Linked DNA regions of Macaca fascicularis. The protein of the gene in region 2 purifies or fractionates together with the protein of the main gene of each other region. This does not show direct contact. Links are inferred from orthologs where the notes say so. Each region holds a gene or a part of one and is shown on either strand. Other genes may lie near its edges.

Region 1 (4,303 bases), on a different chromosome or scaffold from region 2:
GCCCCTTAAGTTCCCAGCCTCTGCATGGCATCTAGTGTAAAGCAGGCATCAAAAATTTGTGTGAGTTTATGGGAAAGTGGTGTTTGAGCTGGGTCTCTTACCCCACCTATCACTGCACCAGACTGAATAGGAGGGAGAATGGGAGTTCCCAGAAACTTTGATACTAGCAAGGAAGTGGTTGTGATACTTCTGGCAAGATATGATAAGGGTCTGCACCAGCATAAGAAACCATCAGAATGGCATCGACTCATGTGAGAGCAGTTCAGAAAGGTAAACATGTCCAGACGTGGTGAACAGCTGAATAGAGGGAAAGAACAAGGGATAGAGGAACTGTCATTTCTGACATGAAGGTGCTATTCGTTGAGATAGGAAGCACAGGGCGAGTATGTTTGTGAGTAAAAGATAAAGTATTTGGTTGGACTTCTTAAAATTGAAGTTCTGGTAGGATATCTAGGTGGAGCTGTCCAGCAGACACGTGGAAATGTGAGTCTGAGACATGGTTGGAAATAGAGATTTGGAGGGATAGTTGGGCCGTAAGAGTGGATGAGACCTTCAAGGGGAGAGTGGAATGAGAAGAGAGCTGGGTTTGGAACCACAGTGAACAATTAACGAGGCAAAAACAAAAGGGGCCCTTTAAAAGACTGAAAAGGACTTAGGCAATAGGAGACTGCAGAAGATGCCACAGCCAAGTGGAAGGCTCAGAAGGGAAGTAGAGGCACAGTGACAGACGCTGCAGAGAAATAATTGAAAAGTATCGTTTGGATTTCAACCCCGAAAGTCATTTAAGTGACGTGGTGAGGGCAGAAGCAGATTGACAAGAGTTCAGGCATGAGCTGTAGATGAGAAAGTGGAGGCAGGTACTTCCCAGGTCCGGTGGACAGAGCTCTGTAGCTGTACTTAAGTTAAAACTGTGACATCTTCCAGGGTAGGCAGGGTCTCTACTTATCTGTGGTCTCAGCGTCCAGCCCACGGCCTGGAAGAGGGGGTGGCGTCAATGAGTTCAGTGACTAGGGACGGAGAAAGACTTCGCGGAGGCAGTCGCTTTGCAGCCAAGGCTTGAAGGATGAGGGTGATTGGGAGGAGAGGTGGGAGGCGAGGTGGGAGGCAGGGCCCCTGGGCGCTGGAGTGCCGGGGGTCTGGGAATGAGGTGGGGTTCCCATAATGTGCGCGCGGCTCGGTGCGACAGGCGGGGGCTGTGTGTAGGTTTGGAGGGACCTATTTGGGGAAAAGACAGGGCGGAAGGCAGCTGTGGCGGGGTGTCCCTTCGCCCTGCCCCACTTATGCCACTGCGCGGTTCCAAGGCACCTTTATCGGAGCCCTCCCGCCGGGCTGCATGGCAACGGGTGACCGCCAGGGGCCGCTGTCTCGGGTCCCCGGTGCCCCCGCCCCTCTCCATTGGCCTTTGTTGCCGTCTGAGCGCCCCGCTTGACTCGTTCCGGTCCGCCCCCTGGGCCTGGCGGTCGCGCCTGCGCACTGGCAGCTGGCCGGGCGCTCGCAGGGGGAGCTGCTGCAGGCTCCGCGGCGGCGGCGGCGGCGGCGGCGGCAACGGAGGCTGCGGGGGCGGCGGCGCGAGCGGCCGGGCTTGGTAGGGGAGCCGAGCCCGGCCCGGGAACCCGAGCAGCGAGAGTGCGGGGTACCTAGGCCCCTCACGCTGGACTTCACAGTCTCCGGGCCGCCTGACCTCCGCACGGGTATATGGGATGGAAGCGGGACCCTCGGGAGCAGGTAAGGGCCCCCGGGAGGGGGAACGGTGCATGCTCCAAGGACTGGGGACTCCCGCATGAAAAGCGTGGTTTCCAAGTGAGGGAAGCGCTCCTGAGTGAGGAGAAGGGCTCTCCCACGATGGGGGCCCAGTTTGAAGGAGGCTGTGTGCAGTTCCGGGGGAGAACCATGTGAAGAGAGCCCTGAGATGGGGGCTGTTTGTCCAAGGAGGCTGTATGCAGTCCTGCGGGTTGGAAGTAATCTGGGAGAAGGGCCTGCACGCACGGAAGGACTCCCAGACGTCCGTGGAGGCCTACGGAGAGGCCCGGCAGGTGGCAGGGGACGGGCTCCAGGTGTCCAGGAGAGGAGGGGGCCACACAGATGGGCCTGGAGCTACCGCATGCCGGGGGCGGGGGCTCCGCTGGGCTGGAATAAGCTAATGTCTCTTGGGAGAAGGCGCCAGAACTGGACTGTGAGCTCCGCCCCACCGGGCCTGACGCGAGGGCGAGGGTCAGGGGGCGGTGGGTGGGGACCCAGTCCCGGGATTCCCCCCCGTGGGTCTGGGGAGTCGGAGTGGAGGCTCCGGAGCATGCGCGGAGGTGGCAGCTGGCAGGGGCTGCCCGACGTGGTGGGGGCGTGGCCGTCCAAATACCCCCACCTCTCTTCGCCGCCCCCCACCCTCGTTTGGCTTGGAAAAAGGAGCGTGCTGATGGGGTGCATTCGCTCTTAGGTTATGCTGGCAGAGTGCAAATGGTTATGGTCCCCGCCCCCATTTTAGGGGCTCTTACACTTGGCCCTCAGTAACAGTTTGCCAAGAATGGGTTGAGGGAAGCTGCCAAAGTGCATTTTTCTGCCACAGGAAAGACTGGGACCGAAGCAATGGGTTCTGGGGGTGGGTCCTCCTAAAGATAGGCCTTAGGAAAGGTATTGGTTACGGATGAATAAAGGACAGGGCAGACAGGGGCTACCTGGAAGGAGTTGTCTGCTTGGTTTGCAAGTTTCTGCTCCAATACTGAGTAGAGATGGGGGCTTTTAATCCACACACAAGATAATGACCTTTTCCATTGAATTGTCTGTTAAGGTTACACTCTACAGTTATAACATTTATTCTGATATTTCTTAATATTTTCATGGCTCCTATCTTCCACTGGATATCTTTCCGTTTTCCTCTCCCTGCTTCCCAGAAACTGTCAGGGCTGTCTTTAGAGCCAAGATCTAAACCCTACAAACAAGTTGGAGGATGGGGGAGTTTATAGCCTTCACCCTGGTGAGGCGCAGGTGATAGCCTTAACTTCTTATTTGCAGGTAACGAGGAGAAAAAGACATAGGAACAGAGGATAAACTGAGGCAGGATTGCCTCAAGAAAACTGGAGTCCTCAGGATGGGCTGTGGGGTGGTGATACCTCTTGTGTCTTAAGTGTCTTACCCTGTGATGGGACGAGGAGCCTGGACCTGGGAATCCTTCAGGTCATCTCTCACCACTTCCTTACATTTGGTCTGGGAATGGGAATCAAATTTCCATTTGGGACATGAACTTTATTACTTTCCTAATGGAAATTATTTTGTTTTTTTTTTGTAGCAGACCTAACTCCCTCCCACTCTCTCAAGGAAATAGCTCCTACCACCTCACTCAAGTTATCCATTTAGTGATCTATAAGTACTTAGTGACTGTTTTCCCCCTAATAACCAACCTTGTATAGGTTGTGTAGTCCCAAGGATAAGCGCAGGGAGCAACTGACTTTTGTACTTCCTCTCTGTCAGGCCCCTCTCTCCATCTCAGGCACTCCTGTTTTTCAAGGCTGGGGACTATTTCCAACAACCCATGAACTAGAGTAGTGGGGTAGGTCATTGAAGTCCACATGGATTGCTGGTTGCTGGTACCCATTCTAGACTAATGATTTTTATCCCGATGAATTCCTAATAGGCTCTGGAGTGATGAAAAATTGACTTTTTAAAAATTTGTTACAAAAAATAAGCTTCTAGGAAAGAGCTAGAACCTGCTGTTTGGAGTTACCCATAGCCTTAGGAAAAGCCTAGTGGGACAGGCTTTGCCTCAGAAAAGGGTATAATTGAGATTCAGTCTGGAAGCTGCAGATTGAGGGACCCCATAACTGCCTCCTTCCTAGGCCCGGACTGTTCTCTTGTAGGAAGTTAGAGTGGTGTCCCAAGGTGGCCTGAGGACATAATACACGACACTAAAGTGTTGTGTAAAAAACGAACAAACAAATAAACAAAAAGCCCAAAAAACTAAAGCATTGTTGCTAGCCTCACTGGGCTTATGCCCAGGTCTGCCTTCTGTGCTCAGGTGTGTTCCAAGCACATACACTAGACTAGGTGCTCCCTGAAGGTAGAAGCAGTGTCTGGTTTATTTGTAGAACTAGCAAGTGCCTAGTGTATAGGCCCTGGCACAGAATACATGTTTATTAATTAAATCACATTCCAATGTGAACATAAATGGTTAAGCACGTATATGGATATTTAATAAAGTGTATATTCACATGGAACAGATCCTTTTTGGAGAGATTGGCCTGTTAGTCTTTGCTTGCCCACCAGCTAACCTAACCTAACCTAACCTAACCTAACCTTGAATTTGTGTCTTTTG
Region 2 (3,753 bases):
TACCCCAGCTAGGTAAAATATACCTTTAATCAGTCACAGGCCACATTCATGAAATTTATGTTTACATTTTGAGAAGGGAACTCCATAAATCCAGGGTGGGAAAGTTGTGGCCTCAGACAAACTGTTCTACACCAGCACCTTGTAAAGCTCTGGGTTTTTGCCCACAGGGTAGTGTTCCTAGTATTTCCTGTCTTTGCACCGCAGTCCCTTAGGATATAGTCCTAGACATTATCATTATGTGAAATTCTTTCCAAGTATGGAAAAGTATAGTGGGTTTTTTGTTTTTTTTTTTGCTACTTTTCCAATAATTAAGATGCATAAATGAATGTATACATTTTGAAACAGCTTTATTTTGTAAAATGAAATAATTGGTTGCCCTTGCCTTCACATATGTTAAATTGGCTTTATTTGGTCTTTTCTCATCTGAATTCCTTTTTTCTTTCTAGATTGAGCTCCTTGATTTCAAAGGAGAGGACTTATTTGAAGATGGAGGCATTATCCGGAGAACCAAACGGAAAGGAGAGGGATATTCAAATCCAAACGAAGGAGCAACAGTAGAAAGTAAGTATTAAAGTAAGAGGGAACTAGTCCTTAAAAGTTGGACCATTTATGTGGACGAAATGGAGACTTAAAAAAAATATGTTTATGGAAATGAACATATCGGCTGGGCGTGGTGACTCACGCCTTTAATCCCAGCACTTTGGGAGGTGGAGGCGGGCGGATTGCCTGAGCTCAGGAGTTTGAGACCAGCCTGGCCAGCATGGCGAAACCCCATCTCTACTAAAAATACAAAAAACTAGCCAGACGTGGTGGTGCATGCCTGTAATCCCAGCTCCTTGGGAGACTGATGCACAAGAATCACTTGAACCGGGGAGGTGGGGGTTGCAGTGAGCCAAGATGGTGCTACTGCACTCCAGCCTGGGTGACAGAGCGAGACTCTGCCTCAGAAAAAAAAAAAAGTATTGAATATATCTCAAAGATAGTCTTAGCCGGGCACAGTGGCTCACGCCTGTAATTCCAGCACTTTGGGAGGCTAAGGCAGGAGGATCTCTTGAGCTTAGGAATGCGGCAGCAGCCAGGGCAACATAGTGAGGCCCCATCTCTACTAAAAAGCATCAAGAGAATTAGTCAAGTGTGGTGACACGTCCCTGTAGTCCCAGCTACTTGGGAGGCTGAGGTGGAAGAATCACTTGAGCTCTGGAGATCAACGCTACAGCAGAGAGCCGTGATTGTGCCATTGGCTCCGGCCTGGACAACAGCAAGATTCTGTGGGAAAAAAAAAAAAAAAAAAAGTCCGGGCGTGGTGGCTCGCGCCTGTAATCCCAGCACTTTGGGAGGCCAAGGCGGGCGGATCACGAGGTCAGGAGGTCAAGACTAGCCTGCCTAACACTGGGAAAGCCGTCTCTACTAAAAGTACAAAATATTAACCAGGCATGGTGGAGGGTGCCTATAGTCCCAGCTACCCGGGAGGCTGAGGCAGGAGAATGGCGTGAACCTGGGAGGCAGAGCTTGCAGTGAGCCGAGATGGCGCCACTGCACTCCAGCCTGGGAGACAGCGAGACTCTGTCTCAAAAAAAAAAAAAAAGAATAGTTTCAGATTCAACATTTATTTAATAATTTTATTTAGTAAACATTAATTCAACATGTGTGCCAGGCATGCTACCAGCCTCTACAAACTCAAAAATGAATACAAAGTAATTCCATCCACAAGAAATTCTCAATCTATGGACTCTTTGGTGTGCCAGCAACTATATTTGTTGCCTGATATATTTGTTCGTTTATTTCTCACAGCCTTAAGAGGTAAAATTTCCTGTCCCCAGATAAGAAAAGTTAATTCAGAGATCTTAAATAAATTGCCCAGGGTTACAGAGTTACTAAACAGAGCAGTAGATTATAATCCTCTTTAGGACTCAAATCCATCTCATCAGCTGTCATCAAGATAAAAAATAGTTCATCATTTAGATCAATATTGGATAATAATGTTCATTCTATTCCCTATCAGTAGACCTAGGTTCAAGTCCTGCTTTGGTGTTTATTGAGTAACCTGAAGCTTTTCCGTTTCTTCATTTGCTAAGTGGGAGAAGGGGCATCTCTGAGGACTGAGATAGCTAACTCTTCTTCCCTCCCAGAGCAAATTATATATACCACTGTGTATACTACTTGTCACTTTACATTGTAATCAGTATTTGCCCATTTATCCCAATATACTATGAGTGCTTGAGGACCAGAATCTTTCTTCATCCTTTTGTTTTCAGCATTACCTGCAGTGCCTGACACACATTTGGTGTTCAGTAAAGGCTTTCTTCATAGATAAATGCTTGAGAAGTGTCATTAGTGAGCTGAAATCCTTCAAAAGAGAGTTGTGAGAAAACAGAGAAATACTTCCATTAAGAACAAAAATCAAATCATTCAACAAGGATGGGAACATGAACTATTATAAAAGTTCTGTTTAAAATAAAGATTTCAAAAAGCTAGGTGTAATGGTGTACACCTGTTGTCCCAGCTACTTGGGAGGCTGAGATGGGAGGATCACTAGAGGCCAGGAGTTCGAGGCTATAGCATGCTATGATTACACCGGTGAATAGCCAGTGCACTCTAGCCTAGGCACCATAGTGAGACCTTGACTTTAAAAAAAAAAAAAAGTAAAATAGAGTTCATTTAAACAGAAAACAAGAATAGCTGAGTTTCTTATATTTAAAGTATATACTATTTTCGGCCCATATTTCACTTCTACGAGTTTGGAAAGTCAGTTAAAATTCTGTTGTTTTGGGAAGCAGTTACAAATATTACTTATCCCAAATTGTCATTTAAGATAAGTTTTAGAATACATGAAGAGCTTTAAATGTAGAATATCAGGGAAGTAGCTCCAGACTAGGAGTTGGGAGATAGGGTTCCAGCCTCAGCCCTGGTCTCAGGCTGGCTCCAACTAGACCTCACCTCTGGGCATTAGCATCCTTCCTATGCAGTGAGGCAAGGTGGAACCGCTTAATTTTTAAGGTCCTACTAGCCCTAAAACTCCATCATAGAATTCTAAACATTTACAAAAGTTGTAGGAGTGATAGAAAATCATCTTCACTATATTAGTAAGCACTTAAGCTTGTCTATAATGTGTATTTTAAATTTTTATTATGAAAAATTTCAAATGTATATACAAAGGTAGAGGTTTACTCCTATGGATATAGGAACTCCCTAGATTCAGTAATTTATATTTTTTAACTGGAGGGTTTTGTCAACTAAGAGGGAAAACTTTTCCCAATTATGGACAATACCACAACATTACTACTGTGGAGACAACTTTAGAGCAGACTAAATTAAATCAAATCTTGCTTTTGGTAATCCTTGTGATGGGAGTCAATTTTTTTTAACTTTTTGTTTTGAAATAATTTTAGAATTACAGAAAAGTTGCGCAACTAGTATACAGTGTTCCCTTATATGCCTCACACAGCTTCCTCTAAATGTTAACATCTTACCTAATCACAGTACATTTATCAAAATCAGGAAGTTAACATTGATGTAGTACCAGTAACTGTTTTCCAGATCTTATTTGAATTTCACCAGTTACTACACTACTGTCGTTTTCTGGTCTAAGATCAAACTCAAGATCCAGCATTGTATTTACTTTTTTTTTTTTTTTTTTTTTTTTAGATGGAGTCTTGCTCTCTCACCTAGGCTGGAGTGCAGTGACGTAATCTCAGCTCACTGCAACCTCCACCTCCTGGGTTCAAGCAATTCTCCTGTCTCAGCCTCCCAAGT
Region 3 (4,445 bases), on a different chromosome or scaffold from region 2:
CCACCTATGGAAATTGAGCACACTAGCACTGGCCATGCTGTACATACGTCAAATGAGAGGGCTTCATACTGTTATAACAATCTGTACCACAATTCTCTGTGCGGTCTGCCCAGCTCTAAATGACATGTCCTCAGAGGCGCCATCATCTCCAAGTCCATGGAAACCACGCACTTATAGAAACCAGAACCTCCCATACCACATGTTACTAATGACCTACAACATCGACTTGGTCTGTATCATGCAGTGCTCAACATTCTGGTTGCAGCATCACATTTCTCAAGAATTTGATTCCATGCTGACTCCTTTACTTGGAGTATTGAGATTCCCCAGGTACAGTGAAAGTATGAGCCTCTCAAATGGAAGACCAGAAGCTGGTTCTCCTATGCTATGTCAATCCGCCACCCGGAAGCACTTGCTGCACCAACAGCATTCCCAAAGCTTGCCTCTGCAGCCCTGCAGCACCCATTAGAAACACTTCTCACAATGAACTGCTGTGCTGGCAGAGCCCTAACTGGACTGCTGGACAGCAAGCTCTGTGAGGCATCTAGGAAAAAAGTTCCCAAAATCCCGAGAAACATTCTTCACTCCGGAATAGCGTCACATCATTGAGTCATTTGGGATGACGGGGCATATCATGGAGCAGGTGTATTGGGAAGTCAGTGAACAGTAAGGCTAATTCATTAGTGGGCCTGCTGGCGTAGTATTTTTCCAGTTCCGCAGCCTTTAAATCATTGGTGGTCTTTAGCGTGCCGGATCAGCGGGTGGTGGAGTTGGAGGATAGATGGCAGGGATCTGAAGAAAGGTGAAGTGTAGACGAGTGGAGACAATGTGAAGTTTAGAAAAGACTAATTGCCGGGCGTGGTGGCTCACGTCTATAATCCCAGAACTTTGGGTTGCCGAGGTGGGAGGACTGCTTGAGGCCAGGAGTTCGGGACCAGCCTGGGCAACGTAGCAAGACCATGTCTCTACAAAAAACAAAAAAACCAAGCGAGGTGGTGCGCGCCTGCAATCCCAACTACTCGGGAGGTGGGAAGATCGCTCAATTCCGGGAGGTCGAGGCAGCAGTGAGCCGTGATCATGCCACTGCACTCCAGCCTGGGCAACGGAGCAAGACCCCATCTTAATTAAAAAAATATATTTAATACAGGAGAGACTGGACTGCTTTGAAAAGTGGATTTGATGGGAATGCGAGGTTTGGAGAGATCTTATGTTTTCCAAGACTTGAAAAACATTGTGGTTCCGTTCAGCCCTCCCAGAAAATACCTAGGGGACCTAAAGAGCGGACCGAGTACCTGTTCGTTTCCCCACCCCTTAGCCGGCAGGGCTCCGGCGGCGCCCTGGGAAAACGTAGGGAAGGGCCGTTCTCGCAGCGGTTACCGGAAGTGACGCATTCATTCTCGCGAGAAGGAAGACGCGCGAGCGTCGGCGGCCCGGAACCGGCCTTGGAACAGCGGCGGAGCCTGAGGCCGCTTGCCCTCCCGCCCCATGGAGCGGCCCCCGGGGCTGCGGCCGGGCGCGGGCGGGCCCTGGGAGATGCGGGAGCGGTTGGGCACCGGCGGCTTCGGGAACGTCTGTCTGTACCAGCATCGGGTGAGGCGGGGCGCGAGAGGGAGCGGCGGTGGGTTTGAGCGTCTGTGGAACACAGGGCTGACAGTGTGGGATAGATGGTTAGTGGGACCTTGGGCAGTATTTGTGGGCCAGTAGGCTTGTGTGTGTGTATGAGAGAGAAAGATACTCTGCCTGTGTGTGTCCAAAGTTGTATCTGAGGTACTGGGCATAGATAGAGCTGTTGCGGGGAACTTGGGTATGACTGTCAGGCTGTGACCAGGTGTTTAGTGAGTGTGACAGTGCGCGTGTGTCTCTGTGAATGTAGAGTGTCAGGGTGTGTGAGGCAGATGCACGTCACAGTGTGTATGTGTGAGCACGAATGTGTGAGAAGAGGGTTGAAGGAGACTGCCTGTTGGAATGTGTGCGTCCGTGTGTTTGGGTCCGTGTGTGCGCGCGCTTGCTTGGAGGCCGTGTGATATCAGTGGGGACTGCAGTAGACAAGGAAGGCTTCATGATGGGTCCAGAGTTAAACCTTTGGAAGTATGGATGGGCTTTGGAATTGGGGATGTATTCCAGGTCGGGACAGTATGAGGGTAAGTTGGTGCAGATCATGGCTTCAAACGGAAGGCGATATTAATAGATTGGAGATGGGGGGCGCTCCAGTCAGTGGAGGACAGTTAACATCAGACTCAAGAATTTTACTTTGATTTAATAGAGAATGTTTAACCATTGTAACAGCAGTTTAAAAAATAATATTTGGGTCATGTTTGTGTGTTTGTTAGTTTTTGTTTTCGAGACGGAGTCTCACTCTGTTGCCCAGGCTGGAATGTAGTGGCGCGATCTCGGCTCACTGTAGCCTCCTCCTGGGTTCAAGCGATTCTCCTGCCTCAGCCTCCTGAGTAGCTGGGATTACAGGCGCCCGCCACCGCGCTGGGCTAATTTTTTGTATTTTTAGTAGAGACAGGGTTTCACCATGTTGGCCAGGCTGGTCTCGAACTCCTGACCTCAGGTGATCCACCTGTCTCAGCCTCCCAAAGTGCAGGGATTATAGGCGTGAGCCACTGCGTCAGGCCTGGGACATGTATTTTTTGTTATAAAAAATGATAATCAATAAAAGCTGTGAACCCTTTCCCCAGAAAAATGCACAGATGCACATCCACGCAACCATGCATTGCCATTTGAGAGGTTCATGCTTTCCTAAAGGACATTTTAGGTAAATAGACCCCGGACTAACACTTCCTGTAATACAGGCTTTGTTTTGTTCCCTATAAAATAGGTATAGTATAATACTTGCATGCATCATGGGTTTGAGAGTTAAATAAAATAATAATGTATGTAAAGCTAAATACAGTACCTGACCCATGAAAGCCCTCAACTGTTAGCACCTGCTGCTACTTTGTTGTTGCTGCTATGATCATAATGCTCCTCATTAATTGGCCTTAAACAAGGAAATGTCAAGATTAAAAGTGTTGTTCTAGGAAAATGGTTTTGTGAAGGATAAATTTGAGTGGAACAACATGTGGGACAAGATGAACAGTTAAGATTTTACTAAAATGCCTGGGCTTGGATTGTGAATAGAGAAATGAATTCAAGAGGAAAAGTAATAATTTGTTATCTAAAGGAACATGGGTGTAGTGAGAAAGCTCATAATTTGGGGTGGGAGAAAGGGGAGATAGGTGTCTACTTTGGAGAAATAGGCATGTTTAGGGTAATTAGAATGACAACTGAAACTGATAGAACTGAGGAAGTTTTGTGAACCAGGTTTCTAGATAGGGTGTGGGAGAAAATCTTGGAGAAAGAGAATGGAAGGTGAAGGACTAAGGCATTAAATCCTATGATAGCAGGATAAGTAGTAAATTTAATAATTCTCACCATCAGAGGGAATATAACACACTAAAAAAATAAGTGGGAGCCAAGTGCTTCCAGTGGCATGTTGCCTGTGTTACCTAAGCCTGCCTATAGACTGATCATAAGGAAAAAGGATGCATGCTGGCAGCTTTTGTGACTTCTTTTTTTGGTCCCTGGGTGGGGATGGATGAATTCATCACTTTTTGTTTTATTATGGTAAAGTATACATAACACAACATTTATCACTTTATTTTTAAGTGTACAGTTAGGTAGCATTAAGTATATTGACGTTGTACAGCCGTCACCCTATCCCCAGAATATTCCAGCTTTTTAAGCACATAACTTTGTTGTTGTTGTACATCTATAAACTGCCCATAGAACATTCTTTGCGAAAAGGTAGAATTTCACAGAGTGGATGAAATATAAATTAAGGAGTTGAAGGATCTTACAAAGTGGGATTTTTGAAATAGATAACTTACTGCTCCATCAACATGAGCATTTAGGACTCAGTGCTGTTCATAGCTGTGCCTGATTCTCATCTCCATGGTGGTAAAGGTCTGCATGGGACATAGATATAACTGGCCACCTGCTCATAACAAAAGGAAGACTGAAGGGAGTGAGACCTGTGGGTAGGCTAGCTTGTAGTCTGTCCTATTTTCCTTCTTCTCTATGCACCAAGTATCATCTTATCTCTAGCCTTTTTTTCCTCTCAGCCCCCAATTCACACTACCCTATCCAAGCTGTGTCTTCCTTCCCCACCTATAATATATTTTTTTCTGTCCTGGCCCCTCTCTTTATTCATACACAGCCTTTATTACAACTCTGGTTTGTGTCAGAGATTACGTATGTTGGAAATTCTTTTGAACTCTCTTTGTGATATCAGAAACATAGTGTAGCCTGTTTTGCCCTGGCTGCTGTTTCTGAGCTGCATTATTAGTGTTGCCAGAATATGATGGGATCTGGCTATTTCCTGTAATGTGCATCAGAATGGGTTTAATTTCAGTCAGAATTGGCTAAATTACTAGTCACAGGCCAGAGATGTTAGGTTC
Region 4 (3,400 bases), on a different chromosome or scaffold from region 2:
GGTGACAGAGCGAGACTCTCAATCATTATCAATCAATCAAGCAATAAAGCCGATGAAAATAAAAAAACCTGCAATAAATGTAGGCACCCAGGTCTCCTTAAATTTAGAATCCTTTCCTCAAAAGTCCCCCTGTTGATACAGAAACACTTTTGAAGCCAGATATGAAGCACCAGCTGCCCCCCAGGTAGGGGTGCCGACTGGTAGGCTGTAGGGTTAGCTCTGGCATCTGGCAGTCAGTTGTCTCCTGAGAAAATACTGTGGTGTGAATGCAAAATGTGATTCGTCACTTGGCTCCTAATTTCTTTTGATTTTGTCCCCTAGAGCAAGGTCCGTGGTCCTGTCAGTGGAAGCCCGGATAGCATGAATGCCTCTCGACTTAGCCAGCCTGGGCAGCTGATGTCTCAGCCCTCCACGGCCTCCAACAGCTTACCCGAACCAGCCAAGAAGAGGTAGGTCCCCGTTAGCAGCGCCAAGTGTGACTGTCGAGGGCACGTCAGGAGATTGGGGATGGAGGCGTTTGTCACTGGTAAATGTCTGTCCAATGATATCACTACCTCTCTGGATGTTTGTTGCATCTGCTAGGTCCTGTGGGGACAAAAGTGTTACATGTTTTGCTCTCCTAGTCCCTTGAAACTTACTAACTAGTTTCTTTGTCCAAGGCTTGGATGACTAACTGCTTAATGAGAACATTGGAAATGCTGGTTGGGCACATGCTGCTACCTTTTATCCATAGGAAGCCACATTCCCTTCAGGGAGGCCCACTTCATCTTTCATCTCCCCTGAGCCATCTGCCCCCACTCACCCTACCACTCCCTTGAGTTACCAAGTCACCACCCTCCTTCTGGTGCCACTGACCTTCCCGTTCTTCCCGTCCTCTGCCTCCTCTTGCCTGAACCATGGCGGCAGGGCTTTCTGCGTCCTGCCTCCTGCCTTTCTGCTGCCAAGCCCTGTGTGGTTGAATTAATCTTCACAAAATACCACTCTGACCAAGGTATTCCTTGGTCAGTCATGAATAACAGCTTCCCCCTCCGTTATAGATGCTCAGGTCTGAGCTTTCTTCAGGTCTCATCTGTGCCAGTAGCACAGTATCAAATTCTCAGGTCCTGCCGGAGACCTCACTTGGGAGCTCAGGGTTGGGGCCCAGCAGTCTGTGTCTAGCAGCCCTCCGCCCATTCTCCAGCACACTGCAGGCCACCTCTGTTCCCACGGTCGTCCCTTCCTGTGGTTTGTTTTGTTTGACACTTTCTGTGTGCAGGGCTCTATGGGTTTCTGCAGGAACTAATCTCTAGGCATGGGAAACACTGATGATTGCCTGGGGCAGGGGAGGAGGATGGGAGTGACTGATAATGCAAGGTTTCTTCTGAGGATGAAGAAAACATTCTGAAACTAGACATGGTGATGGTTGCACAACTCTGTAAATATGCGAAAACCCTTGAATTGTACACTTTAAATGGGTGAGCTTTATGGTATGTAAATTATATCTCAATACAGTCTGCTTTGAAGAATCTTGTTCTTGTCCTTGGGGACTTTGTAGCCTATTTTGATATTTATGTGACCTTGGATACTTAATTTTCTCTCGGCCGTATGGCACATTCTTGTAATCCTAGCACTTTGGGAGGCCGAGGCAGGAGGTTTGCAGGAGTTTGAGGCAAGCCTGGGCAACGTAGTGAGACTGCTTCTCTTTTTTTTTTTTGAGACGGAGTTTCGCTCTTGTTGCCCAGGCTGGAGTGCAATGGCGCAATCTCAGCTCACCTCAAACTCAGCCTCCTGGGTTCACGCGATTCTCCTGCCTCAGCCTCCCGAGTAGCTGGGATTACAGGCATGAGCCACCAGGCCTTGCTAAATTTGTGTTTTTATTAGAGACAGGGTTTCTCCAGCCTGTTGGTCTGGCTGGTCTTAAACTCCAGACCTCAGGTGATCCGTCCGCCTCAGTCTCCCAAAGTGCTGGGATTACAGGCGTGAGCCACCGCATCCGGCCCTTTTTTTTTGTTAAATAAAAAGTACTTCCCCAACCTCTCATGAGCTCCTGGAGTATAGTAGCTAGGCCAGGAGCCTCTTCCATTCCCTTCTGGGGCAGGCACTGAGCCTTTAGCCTAGCTAGAGGCCCTGTAGCTGAGGTTTGGCAAAAATGTACTCTGAGCTCCTGCCATCAGATTGTCACATTTTGCAGAGTGAGAGGAGTTCCGGGGCACTGTCTTCCCTTACGTGGCTTATTCCCTTCAATGATGTCCTCAAAGCTCTAGAAAGGTAGACCTGGGTATGTAGGATGTCTCTTGTCTCCCCACAGCATAGAGCTGAGGTTAGAAAAAGATGTTTTATTACATGCTGCGCTTTCTCAATGTGGCCCAATCCTCAGAGGAAACATGGGTTTCTTATTATAGAAAAGAGAGAGATCAGATTAGATGAAACCAAATCCCAGAACTGCTTTTCAACAGATTCCAAGGAACTATGGAACCCTGATAAATTGGTTGGCCCTTTTTTTTTTGTCTACTTCAGAAATTGGAAAACAGGTGATTTGGAGAATATCTTTAGATTTTGGCAGTTTGAGAATTAAATTCAGCTATCTAGTAAGTCAGAAAGCAGAAAGAGCTCTTTTTACTTCTGACTTTTTATGGAGATCTGTTTGCCTTTTTGGCAGTAATGCTCATGTGTGGAAAGTGCATAACAAGATGAAAGTATTAGTCAATGGGTTGGTGTTTTAAGACACTCAGGATCAAAATAATTGTTACTTCATTTAAAAAGTATTATCAAAACTCTTTAGCATATTTTAAAATAGCAGTGTTAGCTCTGATAACTAATAATGATCGCTTTCTAATAATTTGATCATTTTCTTTAGTGAAGAACTGGTGGCCGAAGCACATAACCTGTGCACCCTGCTAGAAAATGCCATACAGGACACCGTGAGGGAGCAAGACCAGAGTTTCACGGTAACAGCCTGTGTGAGCCCCCTGCGATTCCATGTCCTTTCATTCTATAGCAAAAGAGAAAAGAAAATGGAAACACAATCTGGCATTATCCCCAACCTCAGTGTTTGTTTGTTTGTTTATGACAGGGTCTTTCCCTGTCACCCAGGCTGGAGTGCGGTGGCATGATCTTGGCTCACTGCAACCTCTGCTTCCCGGGTTCAAGTGATTCTCATGCCTCAGCCTCCTGAGTAGCTGGGACTATAGGCGTGCGTCACCACACCCAGCTGATTTTTTCAGTGCATATTTATAATTTTCCATTACACATTTTTTATTATTCATAATAATAGTGATGACTAACAATTATTGAAGGCTTACAACTACATATATGCATTATCTTATTTAATCCTTGCAACACTTAATTCCTATGATGAGGAGGAAGGTAGCATTTTCCCCAGAAGCCTGTCCCCACCTGCACCATTGGTACTACTGCTGAG
Region 5 (4,210 bases), on a different chromosome or scaffold from region 2:
CTACTGCAGAGAGAACTCGACCCCTCCCAAGAGAAGCAGTGCCCGCCACAGATTGGCACATACCACATGCCAGGCCCAACCCTGATATACGTCCCATTTCTGGTTCACAGAAGAGAAACCCAGCGCTGACTCAGTTGTTCTGCCCAAGGCCACAGAATGGCTGATGGAACCAAGACTGGCGCATAGCCTGTGTGGCTCTCAAGGGCAGGCCCTGTCACCAAACCAGCCTCCCTTCCAGAGAGGAGCGCTCCCTCCATTCCACTCCCCACTCCTCTGCCGGGGGACCGGGACCCCGTACCTCAGGGGTGATGGAGCCGCAGAGCTGACTGATGAGGGCGAGTTGGTGCTGCTCCGTGTTGCCCTGCATGATGGGGCTGCGGGTCCACATCTCTGCCATGATGCACCCAGCACCCCACAGGTCAATGGGGGGGCCGTAGTCCCGCTCCCCTGGGAAGAAGAGCGCACCAGGAGGGCCCCTTGAGCCCGGAGGCCTCCTGAGACTCAATGCCCCAGGGCCGGCAGCTCAAGAAGCCCTGGCAGTGGGGGGGCGGGGGCCAGGTAGATGCCTGGCCCTCACCCCCCTCGGCCCGCTCGGGAGTCCTCACCGAGCAACAGCTCCGGGGGCCGGTACCAGAGTGTCACCACACGGTTGGTGTAGCGGTTGGGCTGGCTGTTCTTAGCCAGGCTGAAGGCCCGGGCCAGCCCAAAGTCTGCCAGCTTCAGGACCCCGTCACGAGTGATAAGCACGTTAGCAGCCTTCATGTCCCTATGCAGGATCTGCAAGAAGGGCAAGAGTGGCTCCTTCAGTGATATCCACCCGGGAGTGGGAGCCAAGGCCAGCCCAAGCCTGGGTCCTCCTCCCAGCTCTCGCCCCCACCTTGTTCCTGTGGATATAGTAGAGGCCGTTAAGGAGCATCTGCATCACCCTCTTGATCTCAGACAGCGTGAACTTGACCAAAACATTGCTCAACAGCCCAGCAAGGTCATGCTCGCAGAAGTCGAACACCAGGTATATACTGCCCTTGCAGCGGTTATAGGGTGAAGCTGAGGCAGGAATACAAGGAAGAAAAAGTCAAGAAAGCCACACCCAACACACTTTCCCACAACCAGTTTCTTTCTTCCTGCTCCAACCCATGGGCACCCAAGCCCTCCAGAGCATCTGTCTGTTCCTTCCTTCACTGGTCAAATATTTTCTGAGTGCCTCTTCTGGGCCAGGGCAGACCCCGAGGAAGCACCAGCTACGATGAAAGAGGACCAGAGAAAGCAGTCACCATGGGTCCATCTGAGTTAAGAGGAGGCAGTTTAGGTGGGTCTAGTTCCAACTTTACGAACAAAACCTTAGGCTACAAGTGTCATCTCCTCATAAGATCCAAACAACTTACCTTTGGTTCGACAAATCTCAATCAAGTTGACCACATTCTCATGTTTTAGAAGTTGAAGGATCTTGATCTCCCGCAAGGCGGTAATGGGGAACTGGGTGGGAGAGAGGGGAAAGTGGTCAAGAGTGAGCGCAGTACAGAGCCCAGCCCTGGGGTCTATATTGAGAGGCAAGTTGGGAGACAGAGCAAGATCATGGGCTCTGAAACCAGCTGTCTCAGAAGCTCTGCCTGTAAAATGGATATAGTAGGAGCATGCACACTTCAAGGAGATAATTTGAGACAACAAACTGAAACAGCAATACTTTGCTATTAGCCACTAAATGCTCGGCGGTTTCAGCCTTCAAACTTCAGCTCTATGGCTGTTTCGTTGGCAACAAACATGACGATTCAAAAATGTCCTCGCTAAAGCACATCAGGAAAAGGAAGGTTTATGGGACGTTGTACTTGAGCTAAGATGGGGTGGAGGGACCGCTCCTTTTAAACACATTAAATAACTGAGTATTAGTCACTTTTCAAAAATTTGCATGCATATGTATCTTTCTTTAACATTAAGCAAAATTTAACACTAAAAAAAGGTGTTTAAAGGCTTCCTAACTTCGTGAACTAAAGTGCACACGATGCATGCATCAACTCCCCCTCCCGGTCTCACCCATAACTGCCTAAGAATGAAGCATTTAGTTTTAGGGTGGAGGCCAAATTCCCTGGAAATTTCTGAACTACTACGAAAAAAATTAAATCTCAACCTGAGACTCCTAGAAGCAGCAGGGTGGAAAACCGACCCGGGGTCCTGGGCAGTTAGACGGCTGGCCCGCACGCCCGATCCGTACTCACCCCCTCCTTCTCGTTTTCCATCAGCACCTTCTTCAGAGCCACCTTCTGGCCGGTCTTGCGGTGCCTGGCCTTAAACACCTCCCTGCAGGCGGAAAGGGAGACCCGAGAGCTCATCAGGCGATTTCCGCAGGGCCCGCCCCTCCCCCACTACCGGAGGAGGGGCAGCAGCAAAAAGATTCCCGGGCGGGGCTGGGGTAAGTACCCAGGGCACGCGGCTACCCCGCCACCCGGCACCCTGTCTCGTTCGGAGCTTCTGCTTCCTTCTCTCAGTCCCTTCTCCTCACTTGGGCGTCTCTTGGAGAGATCCCGTTCCCCTCACGGGCGCCTCTCTGCAGCCCCTCCCCGCCCCCACCACCGGCCTCAGGCTCCTCCCCACCAGCCGGCTCCTTCAGGCCGGGGCGGGGTGCGGCGCGGCCTAAAGACCAGTGGGCAAGCCCGGGGACAGACGGTTTCTCTACCAACTCGGGCGGGGCCCGGGGCATCCCGACGTCCGCCCTAGGGGTGCAGGCCCACGGCTCCCGGCCCCGAGGGGCCCAGCCTTACCCGAAGGTGCCTTGGCCGATCTTGGCGAGCTTCTCGTATTTGGAAACTTCATCACAAAAGGGGCACTCCACCGAGTCGTACTGCTTTGCCATGGCCGCCTCCAACGCGCCGCCGCCGCCCCCAGCCGCTGCTGCTGCCGCTCCCGCTCCGGGTCCCGCCGCCGCCGCGCTCCAGGCCCCTCCGCGGCCGCGCCACTTCCGCCTCCACGGCCACTTCCGGCCTCGCGGCGCCGACCCCGCCTCTTCCGCCCGCCGCCCGCCGCCAGGCCCCCTGGGACTTGTAGTTCCCGAGAGGCCAGGGGGAGCCGGAGCTGCAGAGGCGCCTCCGCCGCCGCCGCTGCCCCCGCCTCCGCCGCCGCCACTACTGGCGGCGGCCCCGATCGGGGGCGCGGGGAGCCGGGGCGCCGGAGCTGGGGCTCGGGGTGGCGCGTCCCGCTGCATGGGCCCGGGCCGCCGCTGCTGCCGAAGCTGCTGCCGCTCTGGCGCCCGATCCGGGGCCAGCCGCAGTGCCCTGCTCCTCCTCCTCCGACGGCGCCGCCTCCGCCGGGCTGCGCGGGGCGGCGGGCGGGGGGGCAGCCCCCGAGCCGCGGCCTGGGGGCTCCCTGGCCGGGCCCGGGCCCGGGGCGGCCGGGCGAGGGGGCGAGACGGGAAGAGCCGACTAGGAGACGGCCCGAGAGCCCGGGAGGGGGCGCGTTATAAAGGGGGAGGTGCCCGGCCTCGCCTTCCCCTCCTCCTCCGCCCGCCCCCGCCCTCCTCCCTCCCACCCTCCGCGGCCGCACCTGCCGCCGCCGCCACCGCCCGCCCGCCCGCCCGCTCGCTGTCCGCCGGCCGCCCTCGGCGCGTCACCGCCCGCGGCCCCTCCTCCGCCTTCGGAGGTGGGGCCCCGCGCTCGGCACCTGGCTGCGGGCGCCCAGCCGCGTGCCTCAGTTTACCCCCACATGCCGGCTGCCGCGGAGAGCCCCTTCCTCCCCGGCTCGGAGTGCCCCCCCAAGAGGCGAAGGCGGGAGGCGCGGAGGGAGCGTCCTCCGGCCCTGGGAGGAGAAAACGGCCCCCGCCTCCGCCTCCCCCGGTCCCCGCCACCCTCCGTTGACATGGCAACCGACGGCCGCCAGGGGGCGCGGCGGCACTGGAGGCGACGAGCAAGCAACGCCCGGGCCTTCTATCGCTGGAGCCTGGCTCTCCAGGAGGCAGGGATGGGACCCGCAGGACTCGCGCCTTCGCCGAGTCGCGCCAGAGCTGATCAGGCCCCGGGTCAATAATCGCAAAAAACAGCTACCATTTTCTCAGCACTCTTTGTGTGCTCAGGAAGTGCTGGGCGTTCCCGCCGAATCCTGAATCAACAGCCCCATAGTCAGGATCACTAACCCATTTTGCAGAAGAGGACATTGAGGCTCAGAGGTGAGGTCATTTGCCCAAGGTCACACGGCGACAAAGCTGGGTGTCTGACTGTGAAGGGGA
Region 6 (3,753 bases), on a different chromosome or scaffold from region 2:
TGCGGTCTTCTCTTCTCCCCCATCCCTCTTCCCTGCCTCCCCCCTGCCGGCCTTGAGGCCCCTGAGGAGCGGTGGAGAGGCCAGGCGTCTTCTCTGCCCAGCTCTTTCTGTGACTTCTTTGAGTGGCCACAGGTTGAGGGTTGACTGTGCAGGCGATTGCAGCATGGCCCTTTGGCCTCTTTGCACACTGCCACATGCTGCCACAGGATGGCAGTGCAGGTCTGGCTCTGCTTCTCTGTTTGGTGCCCTCTTATCGATCGTCGTGAGGCTTGGGATGGGCCTAGATTGTGAGCAGCACAGGTGCCAAGGCCAGGGCAGGAGCTGGCATGGGGCCTGTGTGGGCCATTGTGGTAGGAAGCCTTGCAGTTGACTGGCCCAGAGGATCCAAGGCTGCTTTCCTGCTTGAGGCTGGTGGCAGGAGGGCTGCTGACGGAAGGCTGTTTCTGGTAGTGATGGTGAAGTCTGGCCAAGGATGCCGTCTGGAGGCAGGTAGCAGCTTGGCTCTGAGTGGCAGCTGTCAGGCATGTGCAAGTCTGCGTGGGCGAACAGAGGCAGGCAAGGACAGGCTGGGCATTCTGCAGCTGAAGCCGGAGCAGCCGCTGACCAGTCTGGATGGTTGGACCCAGGCGGGGCCAGCTGCCTTCTTGCGCCACCGTTCTCACTGCATCTTCCGCTCTGGCCAAAGCCACATGGGAGGGCCTGGGAGGGAGAGACTCGGAGGAGGAGGAGGAGGGAGTCGGGGCGATGGCTCTCCTCACAGCGTGGCCCTCAGCAGCAGAGGCAGGTCGTCTTCCTGAGCGTTTGTGGCGCTCCTCTTAGAGATAATGTCCGAGTTTTCTTTACATACCTGTAGCTGTTTTTACTTTTCTGTTTTTGAAGTCAGTTTGTGTCTTGACGTGTCCCTTGCAATATCCCTATCGTTATATATGCTGTGTGCCTTATGAAATGCTGGGATCTGGAAAATCCAACCAACCAACCCACCGGCTCCTCACCGTCTCCACCTCTGCCTTTGACTGACACCTCAATCTGTCAATCGGAACCGCCTACCATGCGATTGGTCGGATGGCGTTTCGGGGGGCGGTGCATGCAGAGAAGCCAACAGAGCAGTAAGCGCAGCAGCCGGAGTGTGGAAGATGACAAGGAGGGTCACCTGGTGTGCCGGATCGGCGATTGGCTCCAAGAGCGATGTACAGCCACCTTTCGTAAAACTTTACCTCTCTACTTTCTACCCCCCTTGTTAGACGAGACCTCTCCTGCCTGGAGGGGCCTCTAGTGCGCGTGGTGCCTTAGCGGGGCCACCAGTAATTGCCTGAATGACACAGACACTAGCAACTTCCATTTTAAAGGGTGTAGCAGTGAGAGAGAAACCTTTTTTGTTTTTGAGAATTTGAATGCTGTGAACTTGCAGGAGCTGCCAACTCCCTGTCCTCTAGATTCTCATGCCCAATTTCTTTTCTCTCCTAGATGAGATTGTGGGGAACCTGGGTGAAGGCACCTTTGGCAAGGTGGTGGAGTGCTTGGACCATGCCAGGTGAGCGAGCTGGGGCAGTACAGCTGGCTCTGGATGTGATCTTCCTGGGAAGAGCTGGCCTGAGTTCTTGAGGGTGGCAGCTATCAGAGCTTAACTTTTTTCTTTTTGAAGGGTGGCATCAAAGTAGGGTTCTGACCTGTCCATGTTGGGGTTTTGCTGATCCCCTGTAATAAGGGAGAAATTCTTGGGTCCTGCAGGTATGTGGCAACACTGCCCAAGAATTGTTGCTCAGTGAAAGGTTCTGTTCTAATCTCTCTACTTCTCCAGGACTGTAGTGGTGGATATCAGAACAAGGCCAAGGCCCCAGCTCCCCTATGGCTTGGAGCTGCCTCTATAGCTCCCCTATGGCTTGGAGCTGTGATAACTTTTAGGTTCTTGGCCTGGCAAGGGGCTAGGAGTACCACCAAGCCCAGCCCTAAGGGCATAAGTCCCATCCCCTGAGGGTCTGCCTTTGAGGCTGTGCAGATCTTAGTCGAGAGAAACATGACCCTGGGCTTTCTCACCAAGCAGGCCGCTGCCTTCTTCAGTGTGGCTAGGGTAGTGTGCGGTCTCTGCTGAGTGTGCCCAGGAGAGTGGGGTATACCTATGTGTGTCATGCTGCACGTCACTCTCTCCCAAGCCCAACAGTGCAGTAGTTTTGTTCCTTCACCATTCCACAAGACTAGAACATTTGCTTCCTCTCATATAGGTCTGGGTTGGGGAGGCCACCTCCAGGGAGTCAGTTGCCTCCCTGCTGTAGGCGCTCTAGTTGGTTTGGCACTTCAGCTACAAAGTGCTCGTGTCCTCATTGGAGCCGCGTGCCACCCGTATGTGGCCCTCGCTGTTGCAAAGATGAATAAACATACTCAGGGTTTGCCTGCATCATACTCCAGTTAACGGCAGAGTTGGCCACCACTGCACTGTAGTGCTCCTACATTAAATGGGGTACTCAGGTCATTCAGACCCAGGCATCCAGCCTTCCCTGTGCCCACAAGGTAGACTGAGAGGAAGTTTCCATTTGCTCCAAGTTTCCATGCAAATGCCTGTATGACTCAGTGCGGCCCAAGAGGTTAGGGTTGGGACCAGTGGGTGGAGGGACATGCACAACTATACCATGGCCAGGTGGAGACATGGCAGACTCAAGTAGGCGGTCTGGGCTGCTCCTCTCTGAGGAGCTGGAGGGAAAATGAGCCTCTGGAGTTACTAGGGAGCAGGTGGAGGGTCCGGGGAACCTTTACTTTCACTCAAAGGACTCAAAGGGAGCCAGGGCCAGTGGGGGTTGTCATGCGGAGGCAGAATTCAGCTCAGTGAAAGGCAGGGTCTTATTGTAAGAGCCATGCAACTCTGGCAGGGCTGCCTTGGAAGTGATGAGCTCCCTGTGCTGAGGACTGGGATGCCACGGAGGGACCCTGTTTCAGGAGGAGGCCGGAGTGCATGACCTTTCCCCTGAGAATCTGGGAAAATAGGATAGGGAAAGAAAAGCAGGGGATTCTCTAGAAGATCCCTTTACCCTGGGCCTGTGAGCCTTAGGCACCACCGTCAGCCTCCCTGAGGCCTCAGACATGCCCTTCCAGGCTAGGGCTGTCTCACTCAAGTTCCCCACTGGACATCTGAATTCTAGCGGTCCTTTCCTGACAGGGCCTGGCAGCCAGACCTCGGCAGGTTTCCTTCTCTGCTGGCTCCCTGCAGATGGCCTCCTGGGGTGGGGTTGGGGGTGGGAAGCACAGAGCAGGGACTGTTAAAATCTTCTCTGGACACTTAAGAAGGGTTCCTGGCATTTTGTGGTCACTGATAAACGCTGTGGCAGGTAGGTGCGGCGGTAAAAGGAGTGGCCCTGGACCCCACAGTGAGAGGTACCCTTGCTGGTACCCCTACCTCTTGCCAGATCTTTACTCGATCCTGGCACCCCCATCCCTGTTGGCTCAGACTTGCAGATAAGCTCAGGAAGGTCAAGAGGTGCTGCAGGAGGGCTCTGGGTGGGATAGCCTGGCCAGGGTTGGGGCTGCCTGGCCTATAGGTTAGGTCACTATGTGAGCTCTTGGGCTGGCGCTGGGTAAGCAGGATTGGCCTCTACTCTCCCACACTCCTTTGGGAGCTGGCAGTGGCCGAGAACATAAAAGCCTAAGGCTGGCATGGATGCCAAGAGCATTAACTCACAGATGTCAGGGAGCTTGCTGTTGGGTGGGCAAAGGTCTGGTGTTGCATGGGGCAGGCTGGGCATCCAGTATCTGCTTTCTTCAGTG
Region 7 (4,417 bases), on a different chromosome or scaffold from region 2:
TTAGTAGAGATGGGGTTTCACCACGTTGGCCAGTCTGGTCTCAAACTCCTGACCTCGTGATCCGCCTGCCTCGGCCTCCCAAGGTGCTGGGATTACAGGCGTGAGCCACCGCGCCAGGCCAACTTCCCTTTTTTTTTTTTTTTTGATACAGGGTCTCACTCTGTCGCCCAGGTTAGAGTGCTCCCTGCAACGTCCACCTCCTGGGTTCGAGCTATCCTCCCGCCTCATACTCCCTAGTATTTGGCATTACAGGCGCGTGCCACCACGCCCTGCTAATTAGTAATTTCAGTAGAGATGGGGTTTCACCATGTTGGGCAGGTGAAACTCCTGACCTCAGGTGATCCGCCCACCTCAAGCTTCCCAAAGTACTGGGATTACAGGCGTGAGCTATGGGCGCCCGGTCCAAAATGGCATTTGAGCTAGGGTCCAGTTTTCGTAGCTCCCACTACCTGTCGTGCACAACATAGACACTAAATACCTTATTGCTTATTATGAAGCCCCGTTCTTCAGAAACGTTTTATAGCACTTTCGTTAAACCTCCTTCCTGTTCATAATGCAGTGCACTAGAGTATTTTTCCCATACTCCACCGTTAAGTGGCCTCTTGGTAAGCAGGACTGTTTTGGGTCTCTTGGTTACTATCCCCTAATACACCCTATTAGTGTGTTGCACGAAGCGACGGGGAACCCGTTCTCCCCCAAATGATGTGCGTGGAGACACCCAATGTCCTAGCCTCTCCATTCCCAGAAACCTAAGACTCTCCCACCAAATATCCTTCCTGTCTCATCTACAGCACTGAGGTCTCAAGGTAGGGGCAAAAGCCCGCCCCAAATGGCAAATGCTCCTCCTCCGCCAAGAACCTCCAATTTCCGCTGTCCCTAGACAGAGCCTCCAACCTTCAGAAAAATGGCGAGGTAGACCCAGGCCCTTGATTCTGAAGTGAGCCCTTTTCCACAGCACAGCCTTTCACAGGTTTTTGTGGTGGAATGATTCCTCAGTGAACTGATTTACTCCCTCAAGAGTAACCAACGCTCCATTTTAGTTCTATAGGATCCCGACTCCGTGTCCCTCCGCCTCGGCCTTGCCTCCCACTGCCAACGCAGCCGTTTCTCAGAGAAATCGCCCAAGGCGCATGGCCGGGCAGTTGGGACACCAACGGTTTTCTAACGCGAGAGGACAGCGAGGGAGGAGAGGCGGGAACGCGTAGCGACTAGCAGGGGGCGGGGTGGGGGTGGGGTGGCGGACGAAGGGCGGGGCCGACGCCAGGAAGGATCGCGAAGGAGCTGGGAAGCCCCGCCCTTTCCGTAGATATCTCTAGAAAGCCGCGCCGGACCCCGAAAACAAGGACTGCGCACGCGCGGCGGTAAGGCCCGGGCATTTTGCTGCGTCACCAGCCGCCGCCCGGCCTCACCACCCCTCGTTTGCACGCACGCACGTTCATTCTCCGTCCTCGCGCCCGTTTTCCTACACTTTCCTCTTCTCCCCGACCGGAGGAGCCGCTCTTTCCGCGCGGTGCATTCTGGGGACCGAGGTCGAGCCCGCCGCTGCCGCCGTCGCCTGAGGGAAGCGAGAAGAGGCCGCGACCGGGGAGAAAACGCGGAGTCGCCACTGGAGAGAAGTCGACTCCCTAGCAGCAGCCACCGCCAGAGAGGCCCGCCCACCCGTTCGCCCGTCCCCCTGCCCCGTTCACAATGTGAGTGCGACACCCCGCCGAGGGAAGGTCGCCCAGAGTGAGGCCGAGGCCGCGTTGGGGGCTCCCTGGAAGCGGCCCTTGCCCTCCCTCTGCTTTTGGCCCCATAGCCTTTCTCGCATCGGTGGTGGCAGTCGTTCCTGCCTGGGGGCGGGAGGTCCAGGATCCTTGTTCCGGTTACCGTTGGCGGGTGGAGGACATTTTTCCTCCAGATGTCTGCTTCCCCCACCCCTGAAACGTCCCTTGGCTTCCCTATACCGGAAATCCTACTTTTTCCCTCTTTGGCTGTCTGGGCTACTGGCTTCCTTAGGTAACTTCACCTTAGGCCTTAAGCTCCCCGGAGCTGCTCGCCATGCGGCGCCGTGAAGCGTGAACCCTCGTGGGTCGCCTCGGCTGCTTGGGCGCTCCGGTTCTGCTGCTTTGTGGTCCCCGGGCCAGGCCCTGAGTCGAGTGCACCTGTGGTGGGTGCTGCCAGGTGCCTGGCGGAGCTCCTGGGAGAGCCCCACGCGGGCCTAGCCGTGAGCGGCAGGTACTGCTAGGCAACTAGAGTGAAGCCATGCCCACGCCGCAACATACTTCTCTCCAGTGTCTGGGTTTCTTGAGTGTGGGTTCTTGAAGTCCGCCTCGTAACTCCAGTCTCTTGAAAACACGGGAGGTTGCCAAAACTCAGCCGCTTCCCTGGCAGCGAGGAGGAGTTACCGTTGAGCAGGTAGTTCTGCACGTGTCTGCTTTGGAAAGACACGGACATTTTCTGTGTTCCATGTTAAACCTGAGGTGAGGTTTCACTATCCTGTAACTGTGGGATGAAATATGTATGTAATAGGCGTGTAATTAACCTACTGTTGTCCTAAAGAGTTTAAATTTGTGTTGAGATTCTATGGTAGTCTTCATTTTATGATGATAAAGGAAACCTCGGCGATTTTAACCGAGTAAGAATTCTTGGCACTGCCACGTACAGTGGGAACTGCCGGTTTTACAGGGTTTTGTTTTAGTTTTTGGTTTTTTTTTGACGGGAGGTTATTTTTTAAGGTACTAACTGCGTCCTAAAAGGTATGGAGAGCAATTAAGGGGGAACCTTTTTTTAAAAAATATTCCATTCAGAAGAGAGATGAGAGGGAGTGACTTTGTGGAAAAGTAAGAAGGGTTTGCTTGATTCAAAGTCATGATACTGACGGCTAGAAATCTAAAGGAATGAGTGAGGGATACACTGAAGCGAAGTTTATCACTGGAAACAAGCTTCTAGAGCACAGCATGTTAGAATTTTTGAGGGAGCCCCCTCCCCGAGAGTGATACGTAATCGGGGTTTTTAAAAGTTTGAATCAGACTGGGCGCGGTGGCTCACACCTGTAATCCCAGCACTTTAAGAGGCCGAGGTGGGCGGATCACCTGAGGTCGGGAGTTCGAGACCAGCCTGACCAACATGGAGAAACCCCGTCGCTACAAAAATACAAAAAATTAGCCGGGCGTGGTGGCACATGCCTGTAATCCCAGCTACTCGGGAGGCTGAGGTAGGAGAATCGTTTGAAACAGGGAGGCAGAGGTTGCGGTGAGCCGAGATCTTGCCATTGCACTCCAGCCTGGACAACAAGAGTAAAACTCCGTCTCAAAAAAAAAAAGTATATAAAATAGCTTTTGTTTTTCCCTTTGAAATCTCTCATAAGTAATGTAGAAGGGACATCAGTCTTAACCTTTCATACTCTGAAAATCTGTAAGGGAAAATTTTTGTCAGATAAGGCATTAAGCAGCTTTTAATAATAGAGCCAAACAACATATCTTTTCGTGAAAAATGTTTAAAATGGGCTCGAAGTAGAAGCACTTTCTGGAGGGCACATGAGATATCTAAATAGGTAAGGAACGGCTAAGTTAGGAAAGTAAATTTAAAAACTTGGGTGAAAAGTGTAAGGCCAGGCGCGGTGGCTCACGCCTGTAATCCCAATACTTGGGAGGCTGAGGCAGGTGGATCACGAGGTCAGGAGTTAGAGACCAGCTTGGCCAATATGGTGAAACCCCGTTTCTACTAAAAATACAAAAACTAGCCGGGCGTGGTGGTGCACTCCTGTAGTCCCAGCTATTCGGGAGGCTGAGGCAGGAGAATCGCTTGAACCCAGGAGTCGAAGGTTTTAGTGAGCCGAGATTGCGCCACTGTACTCCAGCCTGGGCAATAGAGGGAGACTCCGTCTCAAAAAAAGTAAGTGTAGCAGTAGAGAGACAATTCCAAAAAGCAGCCTCTCTAGTTAAAAAAAAAAAAAAAAAATGGTACCTTCATGCCGGGCGCGGGGGCTCACGCCTGTAATCCCAGCACTTTGGGAGGCCAATGCGGGCGGATCACGAGGTCGTGAGATCAAGACCATCCTGGCTAACACGGTGAAACCCCGTCTTTACTAAAAATACAAAAAATTAGTCAGGCGTGGTCGCAGGCGCCTGTGGTCCCAGTTGCTGGAAGCCTGAGGCAGGAGAATGGCGTGAACCCGAGAGGTGGAGCTTGCAGGGAGGATCGCGCCTCTGCACTCCAGCCTGGGCCACACAGTGAGACTGTCTCAAAAAAAAAAAAAAAAAAAAAAGCTACCTTTAAAACGAGTGATGCGGCCGGGCGCGGTGGCTCACGCCTGTAATCCCAGCACTTTGGGAGGCCGAGGCGGGCGGATCACAAGGTCAGGAGATCGAGACCACGGTGAAACCCCGTCTCTACTAAAAATACAAAAAAATTAGCCGGGCGCGGTAGTGGGCGC

What was found.
Region 1: the proteins of FKBP5 (region 2) and protein argonaute-1 purify together in Homo sapiens (affinity purification with mass spectrometry; 6 studies listed by BioGRID and IntAct, with this or other methods). This does not show direct contact. The link is inferred for Macaca fascicularis from reciprocal best matches to the Homo sapiens genes FKBP5 and AGO1.
Region 3: the proteins of FKBP5 (region 2) and CHUK purify together in Homo sapiens (co-immunoprecipitation; 4 studies listed by BioGRID and IntAct, with this or other methods). This does not show direct contact. The link is inferred for Macaca fascicularis from reciprocal best matches to the Homo sapiens genes FKBP5 and CHUK.
Region 4: the proteins of FKBP5 (region 2) and IKBKB purify together in Homo sapiens (affinity purification with mass spectrometry; 3 studies listed by BioGRID and IntAct, with this or other methods). This does not show direct contact. The link is inferred for Macaca fascicularis from reciprocal best matches to the Homo sapiens genes FKBP5 and IKBKB.
Region 5: the proteins of FKBP5 (region 2) and CDK9 purify together in Homo sapiens (affinity purification with mass spectrometry; 10 studies listed by BioGRID and IntAct, counting the BioPlex papers as one, with this or other methods). This does not show direct contact. The link is inferred for Macaca fascicularis from reciprocal best matches to the Homo sapiens genes FKBP5 and CDK9.
Region 6: the proteins of FKBP5 (region 2) and CLK3 purify together in Homo sapiens (affinity purification with mass spectrometry; 3 studies listed by BioGRID and IntAct, counting the BioPlex papers as one, with this or other methods). This does not show direct contact. The link is inferred for Macaca fascicularis from reciprocal best matches to the Homo sapiens genes FKBP5 and CLK3.
Region 7: the proteins of FKBP5 (region 2) and PTGES3 purify together in Homo sapiens (affinity purification with mass spectrometry; 4 studies listed by BioGRID and IntAct, with this or other methods). This does not show direct contact. The link is inferred for Macaca fascicularis from reciprocal best matches to the Homo sapiens genes FKBP5 and PTGES3.

The regions. Positions count from the first base shown.
Region 1 is NC_088375.1:199,056,966-199,061,268, reverse strand, and holds the start of protein argonaute-1, read left to right. Parts: upstream 1-1,472; 5' UTR 1,473-1,700; coding exon 1,701-1,725; intron 1,726-4,303.
Region 2 is NC_088378.1:136,068,793-136,072,545, forward strand, and holds part of FKBP5 (peptidyl-prolyl cis-trans isomerase FKBP5), read left to right. Parts: intron 1-446; coding exon 447-561; intron 562-3,753. UniProt on the Homo sapiens protein: Immunophilin protein with PPIase and co-chaperone activities. Component of unligated steroid receptors heterocomplexes through interaction with heat-shock protein 90 (HSP90).
Region 3 is NC_088383.1:109,176,007-109,180,451, reverse strand, and holds the start of CHUK (inhibitor of nuclear factor kappa-B kinase subunit alpha), read left to right. Parts: upstream 1-1,421; 5' UTR 1,422-1,485; coding exon 1,486-1,590; intron 1,591-2,689; exon of another isoform or gene 2,690-2,761; intron 2,762-4,445.
Region 4 is NC_088382.1:45,840,394-45,843,793, forward strand, and holds part of IKBKB (inhibitor of nuclear factor kappa-B kinase subunit beta), read left to right. Parts: intron 1-321; coding exon 322-449; intron 450-2,836; coding exon 2,837-2,927; intron 2,928-3,400.
Region 5 is NC_088389.1:16,210,919-16,215,128, forward strand, and holds the start of CDK9 (cyclin-dependent kinase 9), read right to left. Parts: upstream 2,961-4,210; 5' UTR 2,846-2,960; coding exon 2,754-2,845; intron 2,293-2,753; coding exon 2,211-2,292; intron 1,474-2,210; coding exon 1,383-1,473; intron 1,045-1,382; coding exon 878-1,044; intron 778-877; coding exon 606-777; intron 448-605; coding exon 299-447; intron 1-298. UniProt on the Homo sapiens protein: Protein kinase involved in the regulation of transcription.
Region 6 is NC_088381.1:51,734,889-51,738,641, forward strand, and holds part of CLK3 (dual specificity protein kinase CLK3), read left to right. Parts: intron 1-1,090; coding exon 1,091-1,187; intron 1,188-1,464; coding exon 1,465-1,531; intron 1,532-3,753. UniProt on the Homo sapiens protein: Dual specificity kinase acting on both serine/threonine and tyrosine-containing substrates. Phosphorylates serine- and arginine-rich (SR) proteins of the spliceosomal complex.
Region 7 is NC_088385.1:63,494,702-63,499,118, reverse strand, and holds the start of PTGES3 (prostaglandin E synthase 3), read left to right. Parts: upstream 1-1,394; 5' UTR 1,395-1,689; coding exon of another isoform or gene 1,690-1,691; intron 1,692-1,942; exon of another isoform or gene 1,943-1,998; intron 1,999-2,274; 5' UTR 2,275-2,448; coding exon 2,449-2,462; intron 2,463-4,417. UniProt on the Homo sapiens protein: Cytosolic prostaglandin synthase that catalyzes the oxidoreduction of prostaglandin endoperoxide H2 (PGH2) to prostaglandin E2 (PGE2).